Tribolium castaneum: one gene and its partners. The protein of the gene in region 1 purifies or fractionates together with the protein of each later gene. This does not show direct contact. Links are inferred from orthologs where the notes say so. Each region holds a gene or a part of one and is shown on either strand. Other genes may lie near its edges.

Evidence for each region.
Region 2: the proteins of Rint1 (region 1) and Use1 purify together in Homo sapiens (co-immunoprecipitation; 3 studies listed by BioGRID and IntAct, counting the BioPlex papers as one, with this or other methods). This does not show direct contact. The link is inferred for Tribolium castaneum from reciprocal best matches to the Homo sapiens genes RINT1 and USE1.
Region 3: the proteins of Rint1 (region 1) and Sec20 purify together in Homo sapiens (co-immunoprecipitation; 3 studies listed by BioGRID and IntAct, counting the BioPlex papers as one, with this or other methods). This does not show direct contact. The link is inferred for Tribolium castaneum from reciprocal best matches to the Homo sapiens genes RINT1 and BNIP1.

The regions. Positions count from the first base shown.
Region 1 is NC_087399.1:3,668,283-3,672,046, forward strand, and holds Rint1 (RAD50-interacting protein 1), read left to right. Parts: upstream 1-1,011; coding exon 1,012-1,146; intron 1,147-1,196; coding exon 1,197-1,432; intron 1,433-1,477; coding exon 1,478-1,651; intron 1,652-1,696; coding exon 1,697-2,090; intron 2,091-2,155; coding exon 2,156-2,381; intron 2,382-2,488; coding exon 2,489-2,823; intron 2,824-2,915; coding exon 2,916-3,442; intron 3,443-3,490; coding exon 3,491-3,704; 3' UTR 3,705-3,753; downstream 3,754-3,764. Other genes in the region: alcohol dehydrogenase [acceptor], read right to left, coding at 1-398, 446-602. UniProt on the Homo sapiens protein: Involved in regulation of membrane traffic between the Golgi and the endoplasmic reticulum (ER); the function is proposed to depend on its association in the NRZ complex which is believed to play a role in SNARE assembly at the ER.
Region 2 is NC_087396.1:21,173,840-21,176,247, forward strand, and holds Use1 (vesicle transport protein USE1), read right to left. Parts: upstream 1,570-2,408; coding exon 1,421-1,569; intron 1,373-1,420; coding exon 1,248-1,372; intron 1,202-1,247; coding exon 899-1,201; intron 886-898; exon of another isoform or gene 851-885; coding exon 813-850; 3' UTR 812-812; downstream 1-811. Other genes in the region: Grip75 (gamma-tubulin complex component 4), read left to right, coding at 1-105, 158-365, 419-487, 539-811; focadhesin, read left to right, coding at 1,956-2,209, 2,258-2,408.
Region 3 is NC_087395.1:17,502,695-17,505,325, forward strand, and holds Sec20 (vesicle transport protein SEC20), read right to left. Parts: upstream 1,529-2,631; 5' UTR 1,428-1,528; coding exon 1,347-1,427; intron 1,293-1,346; coding exon 1,120-1,292; intron 1,071-1,119; coding exon 650-1,070; 3' UTR 624-649; downstream 1-623. UniProt on the Homo sapiens protein: As part of a SNARE complex may be involved in endoplasmic reticulum membranes fusion and be required for the maintenance of endoplasmic reticulum organization. Also plays a role in apoptosis.

The DNA of each region.
Region 1 (3,764 bases):
GAAAACTGAACATTTGTGCTTGTTAGTTTCGTTGCTTTCCAGTTTTTTGAAGTAGGGAAGAACGTCGATCGTGTAGTTGAAATTACAGGAATCTTTATACCACTCGGCGAAGTCTTGGGGGTGTCCCCGGACGTAAATCATGTTATTTAACATCGCCGTGCCCCCCAGAATCTTCCCCATGGGCCAATGACTTACTTTTTTGTCAAGCCCCAAACAGGCATGTTTCTGGGGCACCGTTCGGTACTGCCAGTCAAAAACCGAGTCTTGTAGCATGAGACTAACAGTCGGGATTTGCAAAATGCCATTTCCGCTAGCCCCAGCTTCAATTAGCAAAACTTTAACGCTGGGGTTTTCGGCGAGTCTTCGAGCGACGATGCTTCCAGCTGAGCCGCTCCCGACTGTCTCAATTTGAGTAATTTTGTTAAAACTGGGCGTCTATACCAACCTACAATGTAATCGTAGGCCTGGTCCTTGAAATCCAGCTCTCGACAAGCGAAGCACTCAAAGTAGTTGTGAAAGTACACAAATCTAAGGTATAGCCCGAATAGATTAACAGCGAGAACGTAGACACTTATGTAGAACGCAGGGTTGGAGCAACACATTGTGTTTAATTCAATTTTACACGGAAATTTTGAAATAAAAAAAGGCCGAAAATTGTCAAAAGTGAGGTTATGCCAAATAGAAGTGAGGTTACAACTAAACCACCTGTCAAGAAGTTTATTTAAATTTGTCTGGGTTATTTAGTGCTGAAAAACACGCGTAATGTTTGATTTCTACTAATTGATTTGATGCACGTCTGTAAATATAACGTATGTTTTTAATTTAATTATGAGTCTAACTTAATTAATCGTACTTTGCCCACAGGTGTTAGAATCTGATGCAACATTGTGCTAAAATACTTATTAACTTATGGGATTTATTATTTACTGTATTAATTGCTAGATAAACGCACCGATTTTGTCGATTCTGGGCCATTGTCATAACTGAGGTTATGTGCCACATCGCCTTAAAATGACCACATCGGAATCAAAAAAAGAATTAGTTAATGAACTGAATAAGAAGTACGGTAAAGATTTATTAAATTACGAAAAATGTAAGAAGATCTATGAGCAATTGCAACAAAACAAGTCTGAGATTGAAAGACAGGTTTTTAATGCAACTCCCCAAGTTCCCACCCCTTAAAGTGTGATTTTTAGTTAAATTTAAACGATGAGTCATCTTCGATTGGTAAAGTTGTCAAAGAGGCGGAAATTGCGGCACAAAACACTGATCTTTGTTTGGAAAGAACTACCGATGTTATTGACGAAATTAAAGCAAATCTCGTTGAAGTTGAAGATGTGAGGCGAGATGTGCAGAAACGTCTTGATAAATTAAATGCCTTACAAACAACCTTCCAGTACTTTAAAGTCATACAGAGAATTGAGTTTTTGAGGTTGGTCACACTGTAGTTTTTCCCCTCGCAATAATCGAATTTTAGCGACGAATTAGAACGCGAATTTAAGAAAAAAGACGATGAGCAGTGCGTCACAATTTTTGCGAATTTGTGCGAAATCAGCCGTAATTTAACTGATTTTCAAGGTAGCAATTTGAGGAATTATCTCAAGGACACTCTACACTATTGGCACAACGTACTAAAGGAAAAACTAGCAAAGTAACTGGTCTGATTTATCATTCGAGTCTTTATCTAACATTTTAGAGATTTCGATGACGTAATGAAATCACTCAAATGGCCATTCGTTAGTGCAAACTTCAGTCTACAAACGCCCTCTCCTAACAGCATTCTGAAGCTACAAATTGTGGCAGAATATCTGCTCCAAATCGAACTTCCAAGTGAGACAATTGATCCGAGGATAACTTCGGCCCTTTTGAGCGATTTTCCACCCCTTTGTCTCCCAGTTATGCTCCTAGTCCAACCCTTAAAGAAACGGTTTTTGTACCATTTCTACGGCGCCCGTCAGACCAACAGGCCTGATAAGCCCGAATGGTACTTTACCCAGATTTTAACATGGATCAGGGACCATGCCGAATTTTTAGTCAAGTGGATTCAGCCGGTGATTGATAAATTGGGGCTCCACCACATTGACGCCAAAGTAATTTTCTCTATTTAATTGTTTTTTTTATGATTAAGTTCTAATAATAAAATTTTGTTTGACAGTTGGAATTCATCAGAGGCCTTGTACAGTTGGCTGTGGAGAAGCTAAACTCTGATTTGCCTAACTTACAATTTGACGATTTCACTTTTTCGCACTCTATTGACGAAGCTCTTGGCTTTGATAAAGAATTGCGTGAAACCTACAGTTATCCACCGACGCAGCCGAGTATTTTAGCCGTTTTAACTCAAGCTAAAATCATTATTAAGTGGATGGCTATGGAGAAAAAATGTGAGTTGGCGTGAGTTCACAGCCTCCTTAAATTTAAATTTAAAATAAGAAGGAGGTTGTGCGACCAATCGCCTAGGAGATAATTTGTTCTGATAATATTTTGTCAGATGCTATGGAAAAAATGGACGCGATGATGTCCTCAGCCACAGTCGATCCTTTCGAGCCGCTAACTTACGATATTGAAGAGCTGAAAATAACAACATGTGCCGATGCTTTTATAACGCTTCTTCAGACAATCACGGAACGTTACGAGGCATTGCCACAACCCGGCCACCGCTTGCAGTTCTTAGACCTCCAGTTAGAGTTACTGGATGATTTTAGAATAAGATTATTGCAACTGGTTAACGCGGAACATGAAAATATAGTCGAATCGAAGATCCCCACGATTGCTAACACGATCTATTACATCGAGAATGTTTTAGTTGATTGGGGGGCAATGTTGGTACGGCTGGCTCGAACCGTGCGATTTGATTGGCTGAACGCAGACTTTCAGCCAATCAAATGGCACTATCTATACTTATGCAAGTGTTTCAGCACTATTTGAATTTATACTACTACAAAAGCCAGTTGAATGACTACAAAGCACCCACAAGCCCGTCAAGTGATTCGGACGACTTTGACCCCACGGATATTGAGGGTGAAACTGTTTTTGCCGAAACTTTATCACTCTATAGGCACATGAGACGCGACTTGTTATTTAATTTATCAGATTATGTCATGTTGGAAGTCAGGTCACAAGGTAAAGCCTACAGGAGGGAAAGGTGGTCCTCTATGAATGTCGGTAAAGACATCAAAGGCCTGTCTTTAACACCCACAGCCTGCCCTATTTTCGAAATCGTGGCTAAACGACTACACCAACTGCAAAAAACTCTAGCTTCGAAACTTTTTACGATAGTTTGGCGCTCGGTTGCGCAACAATTAGATAATTACCTCTTTGAGGATCTTGTCCTTGATAATAGATTTAACACTGGAGGCGCTTTGCAGTTAAAGTATGACGTAACAAGGAATTTACTGCCGTTATTTTCGCAATATACCGAAAGGCCCGAAACGTATTTCGTCCAGTAAGTTATTTACTCAGTCGGTAAAGTGGAAAATAAGAACTGTTGCAGACTGATTGAAGCTTGCAATCTTTTAAATATAACTAAAGGGTCCGCTTTGCTACTACGAGAGACTCTCTTGGCTCTTGAGGGGGCCACAGGTATTGAGGACTCCCGCGGGAGAGCCCTCAAGGAGGTTGGGGTGGTCAGCTTCACCCCAAAAATGGCCGTTAAGATTCTAAACCAGCGCACCGACATTACTGTTAATAGGATGGACGTTGATTGAAGCATTTATACGTTTTGTTGAGAAATTTTATAATAAATGTTTTCCCCACCATTGCATTTC
Region 2 (2,408 bases), on another chromosome or scaffold:
GATGGAACTGTACAATCAATTATTCTGCTACTTGTTAAGGCTGAGCAGAACTCAGATCCACTTACACAAGTTGTGGCAAGCGCACATGTCCGGGAAACAAAACATGTGTGTATTAATTAAATAATCAATCGGTTATTGTTAATTTTTGCAAATTTAGTGACCGGCGAGTGTGGACTTTACGCCAGCATTTAATTTTCCTAGTCAATAATCTACAATATTACCTCCAAGTGGACGTGATCGAGGCGCAATTTTCGCTACTTTTGAAAGCGATCGAAAACGCCAACGAATTCGAGGAGATCATCAAAGTCCATCACGAGTTCATCAGCAATTTACTCGCGAAAACTTTCATCCTGACCCCTGATAAAGTAAGTCAAGTCGGTTTTGAAATTACTTTGGTTAGACTGAATTAATTTTGCAGAGCCACACTTATCAAAACAAACACCGGTTACACCAAACTCCCGCCGTTCAGTTTAACGTCCCGAGTGAAGTAATAATTGTTGATTAAGTGTTTAATTGAACAATTAATGGTTTGTTAAAGGTTTACAACGTGATAATCCAGCTGCTGGAGCTGTGTGACAATTTCTGCGTCATTGCGTCGACATGGCAACCGCAGTTAACCGAACCGGAAGTAACCGAGTTTGAACAGTTCCAGAAACGCACCGATACCATCGTCGATTCGCTTTTGTTTATTCTGTACAAGTTACATGAACGAGCCGATGGCCAACACTTGGTCCAGTTGTTGCACCAGCTCGACTTTAATCGCTTTTTCACTCGAAACAAACCCGAGTTTAACCTAACGCAAAGAACGTAATTTATTTTTTCTTCATCACTTTCATAAATAACACCATATCTGGAATAAATTAATTAGGAGGCAAAGTTATTTCATTCGGCGACTTACTAATAAAAACAACCACAACCACAAGTAACATGATCCACATCCAGCATTTCCAGGCCCGTTTCGAGTGCTCGGCCAATTTGTTCGATTCCGCGCTCAGTTTGGAATAGTTTTGGTCGGTTAGTTGCGCCGATCGCGACACAACTTCGGTGTCTTTTTTGATAATTTTATTGGCTAGTTCCGACTGTTCTTTCAAGTTTTTGGTCAAGATGAGCATATCGTCGGTGATTTTCTGTTGCATGTTTTCGTGGAAATTCAAAACTTGGTCTAAGTCGCTCGTTTCGGGGCCTTTGCGGTGCCTCACGCCTGCAAGCTTTACTAGTACCATGAACTGTTACAAGGGGCCACAGACCTAGGAGGCTCTCCCGGAGCAATTCGGTGTCGTTTTCAGGGGGGTATTTACTTGTAGTGATCCCCAAGTCGGCCTTAATGGCTGCGATACGGCGCTGGTACGTCAGCAGGAACTCATAGTTGGGACTTAAACGCCTGGTTTAGTGAAAATTCGGGGGTTTTGGGACAACTCACTCTGACATTTTTTTCACTTCTTGGTACATGTCTTCAAGACTTTCGACGTATTTAGGCATGCGGTCGTCGTCTTTTTGCTTGCTCTTGCACATGAGCTCGCACTTGGCCAGGAGGCGCCGCAAGTTCACCTCCTGACGCGACAGCCCCATTTTGGCCAACAAACAAACCCGCTCGTGCTAAGTTTTACGAAAAGGACCACGAACTTTCGCTTAATCACCTCATTTCAATAATACCGACGTGTTCAATCGAACTTTGACAGATAAAAGTGAGGTTACGTAAGGGGAACTGTGCCCCAAATTATGCAAATTGGGCGGTTTTGTGTCGTGGTTTTTGCACTATTTTAGGCCATGGACCTACACTACCAAAACGAAGCCACAAAAATTGATAATTAACGATTAAAAAATTGAAATGTCAATTGTCAAAAACCAAACCTCAAATTTCCCACAAAATTATTTAAGGAATTTTGACTTAAAAACACGTGTGTGGGCCAAAACGGGCCAAAAATCGAGTAATTGTGCCTGATTACTGTTCAATCATGGACGAATTGAGCACCCGATTGGATTCGGAAAACCCAACTGTGGCCACTCAAATCGTCTCAAAACTGGCCCAAATTGTGAAAAAGCGCCAAAGTGGTGATATTTTCGAAGTGCCCGAGTTCAGACTCTTGCGGGAAAAGTGTATGAGTGGCAGTGTTTTAGCAGCCGAGGCCATTTTACAAATTGTGAAAAGTGACCCCAAAGTGGCCAAATCGGTGATTACTGACTTTGTCACACTTATAACAACGGCAAAGTATGGGGGTTGTGTCACTGGGGCGTTGTCATGGCTGGTTTATTTCAGGTTCGCCCCAAACGTGGCATTTTTAATTAATAATTTGCTAATCACTGATTTGGAAGAAAGTGGGTACAAATCGTCGTATAACTTGCAAGTGCCCCAACACCCCTTTATTGTAATGCTGAGAGAGGCGCCAAATTCGTGGAGCGCGATTTTT
Region 3 (2,631 bases), on another chromosome or scaffold:
TGCATTGATATGATTTTTTTTTAATTGAACATAGGATTAATAGAATTAGGGTGTTCGGTAAAATAAAATCTTCGCTGTATATTTGAATTGGATAGTTTAAAAGGTAATTTGATCAATGCTTTAAGAATAATTAATGAAGACCAAAACCGTTGTATTAAAAGATCAGTTGAATGTAAAGAACAGCGTATTATAGAACAAGCAAGAAATCATAATAGAAAAATCTGTACTTTCATAAATTATAAAGAAGCTTATGATTATATTCCCCATTCTTGTTTAACCGAAAATACATAAAAATATATAAAATACGTCGGTTTTAAACAATCATATCAATTGAGTTTTGTTAAGAGATTTAAATACCATGCGATCAATTGAATTTATAATTAAAGTAGGTGATTTTTTGTCTTTGTGATTAAAAGCTAGTACGAACTGAGGGAAAAATCAGTTCTTTTAAAAACCCAATATTATTATTATTATAAATGTCTCAATAATAACGAAACGTATTTTAATAATAATGTGGTTACAACAATACAATAAATAATTTATTTAGCGTAATCTGGGGGCTTCCCAGATGCCTTGGACCAAGGTCCTTCAGTCTATAAAAACAATACTCGTAAAATAACTCATTATAACGAAAGTAGTTGAAGTTTATTTAAAATAATCGTTTTTGCACGATATAAAAAACACACGCCACAAAGAAGACAAACGCAAAGAACATGAGGATTTTATCGGTGAATTCCCTTCGCCCATACTTCGCCAGCAATTTCCCCGACTGGCTAATTGTACTTGAGGTTATTTTGAGTTCTTCCTGTGACCCGATTACACTATCGGAGGAAGTAACTAGCGCGTCCAGCGTATCCGCACTCCTTTTCGTCGTATCAGCTAATTGCCGACTGATTGATAACAACTGTTCGGTTACATTTGAGCTCATTTTGACCAAATTTTCCTTATCGCGTTTTTGCCTTTGACGCAGCGCCGTTTCCTCAGTTTTCGGTTTCAACAACTCCTCCTGAGCCCCCTTTTCTATGGCCAACATCGCACTAATATTGGCCTTTTTGAACGCCTCCATTGTGCTACAAAATTAATCTCTTCACACAAATGCGACACAATACACCAAATCACCTCGCTAATTGTTCACGATACGAAACTACGTCTTTCAAAAACGTGGGGTTTTTGCGCTCTTTGGCTATATCCCCGAATTTGTCGATGAATTTCCGCAAGGCGGAAATTTTTGAACGTCCCGCGCTATTCAAACCTTGCAATTCAGCCAATGGGCCGACGCATGCGTTGATGTCCTACCACAACACGGACGTGTCAAAAATCAGGGTTTATTTGTGGGTAATACGCACCTGAATTATCGCTCTAATTTGTAAATTGTGCTCAGTTATGTCTTTTCTCAACGTTTCTAGCACGTAATCGGATGAATCCATCGTTTTAAGCTCGTTAGCACCCGACTAAGCTAATGGAATGTAAATCTAGTAACCTACTCATGAGCAGGGTTTTCCGTTTTTGAACCAAGCAATGGCGCCAATTCAAAATTTAAACGTTAGTTTAAAGTATTAGCTCTTTGAAAAGTATGTAAACGCCAACGTCACATTTTTCTCAAAATTAGTTGTTATAAATTATTTATACACTTCAAAAAATTGATAGATAATGTAATTTATATTTTCAATGAGATCTAACCATTAATACGTATCTTACATTTATTTTTACCTTATTTAAAAAAATAATTTGGTAAAGAGCGTGGTTAGCGATTATTTTTTGTTGGTTTTGAATTTTGAGTAAAGACTGAAAATTTAAAAAATAAAATATCACTTTTAACACAAAACAAAAAAAACAATATTTTGTTTCTTTAAGCCTTTCCCTCCTTTTAAATTTTAAAGTAGGGGTGGCTAGCGATCAGGGGATGAAACCTAAAATGTAACTAATATTGGTTTTGAATTTCCCTTCGAGATCCTAATCGATCGGTTTTTGCTTGAAAATATCTTTATTCAATATCAACAGTTATTGAAATACAGTGGAACCTCCCTTAATGGACACCTCCGAAAAACGGACACCTCTTCACAACAGACATTTTTGTAAGAAGTTAACAATATATTAAAATTTCCACCTCTCCACAATAGACAATTAAAGGTTCCCCATCAGTGTCCGTTGTTGAGAAGTTTTACTGTACTCGTAAAATAGTACTTAAATCAATAATGGACAAATTTAGAGACTCATATGAGCCTAAAATTAGGGCTTTTCGAACTTAAACCCAAGAAGTTGTGGAATGATATTTGAGTTCCTAAATTGAGTCTTTCTCGCTCGCTAAGGCAACTTTTGCGGATCATTTAGGTGAATACAAAAAAAGTGTTTCGAGGGATAGCTGTACAACTTCAAGGATTTCCAGGACTGTAAAAGGATGTATAAGGAATGTATGGTGTACAAGATTTAGATCAGATGTTTACCCCTCGCAAATGGTAAAAAAACAAAAATTAAAAACAAATTGTAACGATTGGTCATTTACTACTAGACCACCATTTATTTCCTTAAATGAGGCAATGCCATTGAATAAAATAAATGAATGATTCATTCGATAGTTCAAATCGCTGTTCAAATCATTTGATAACTGATTATTCCATAGTCAAAATCATT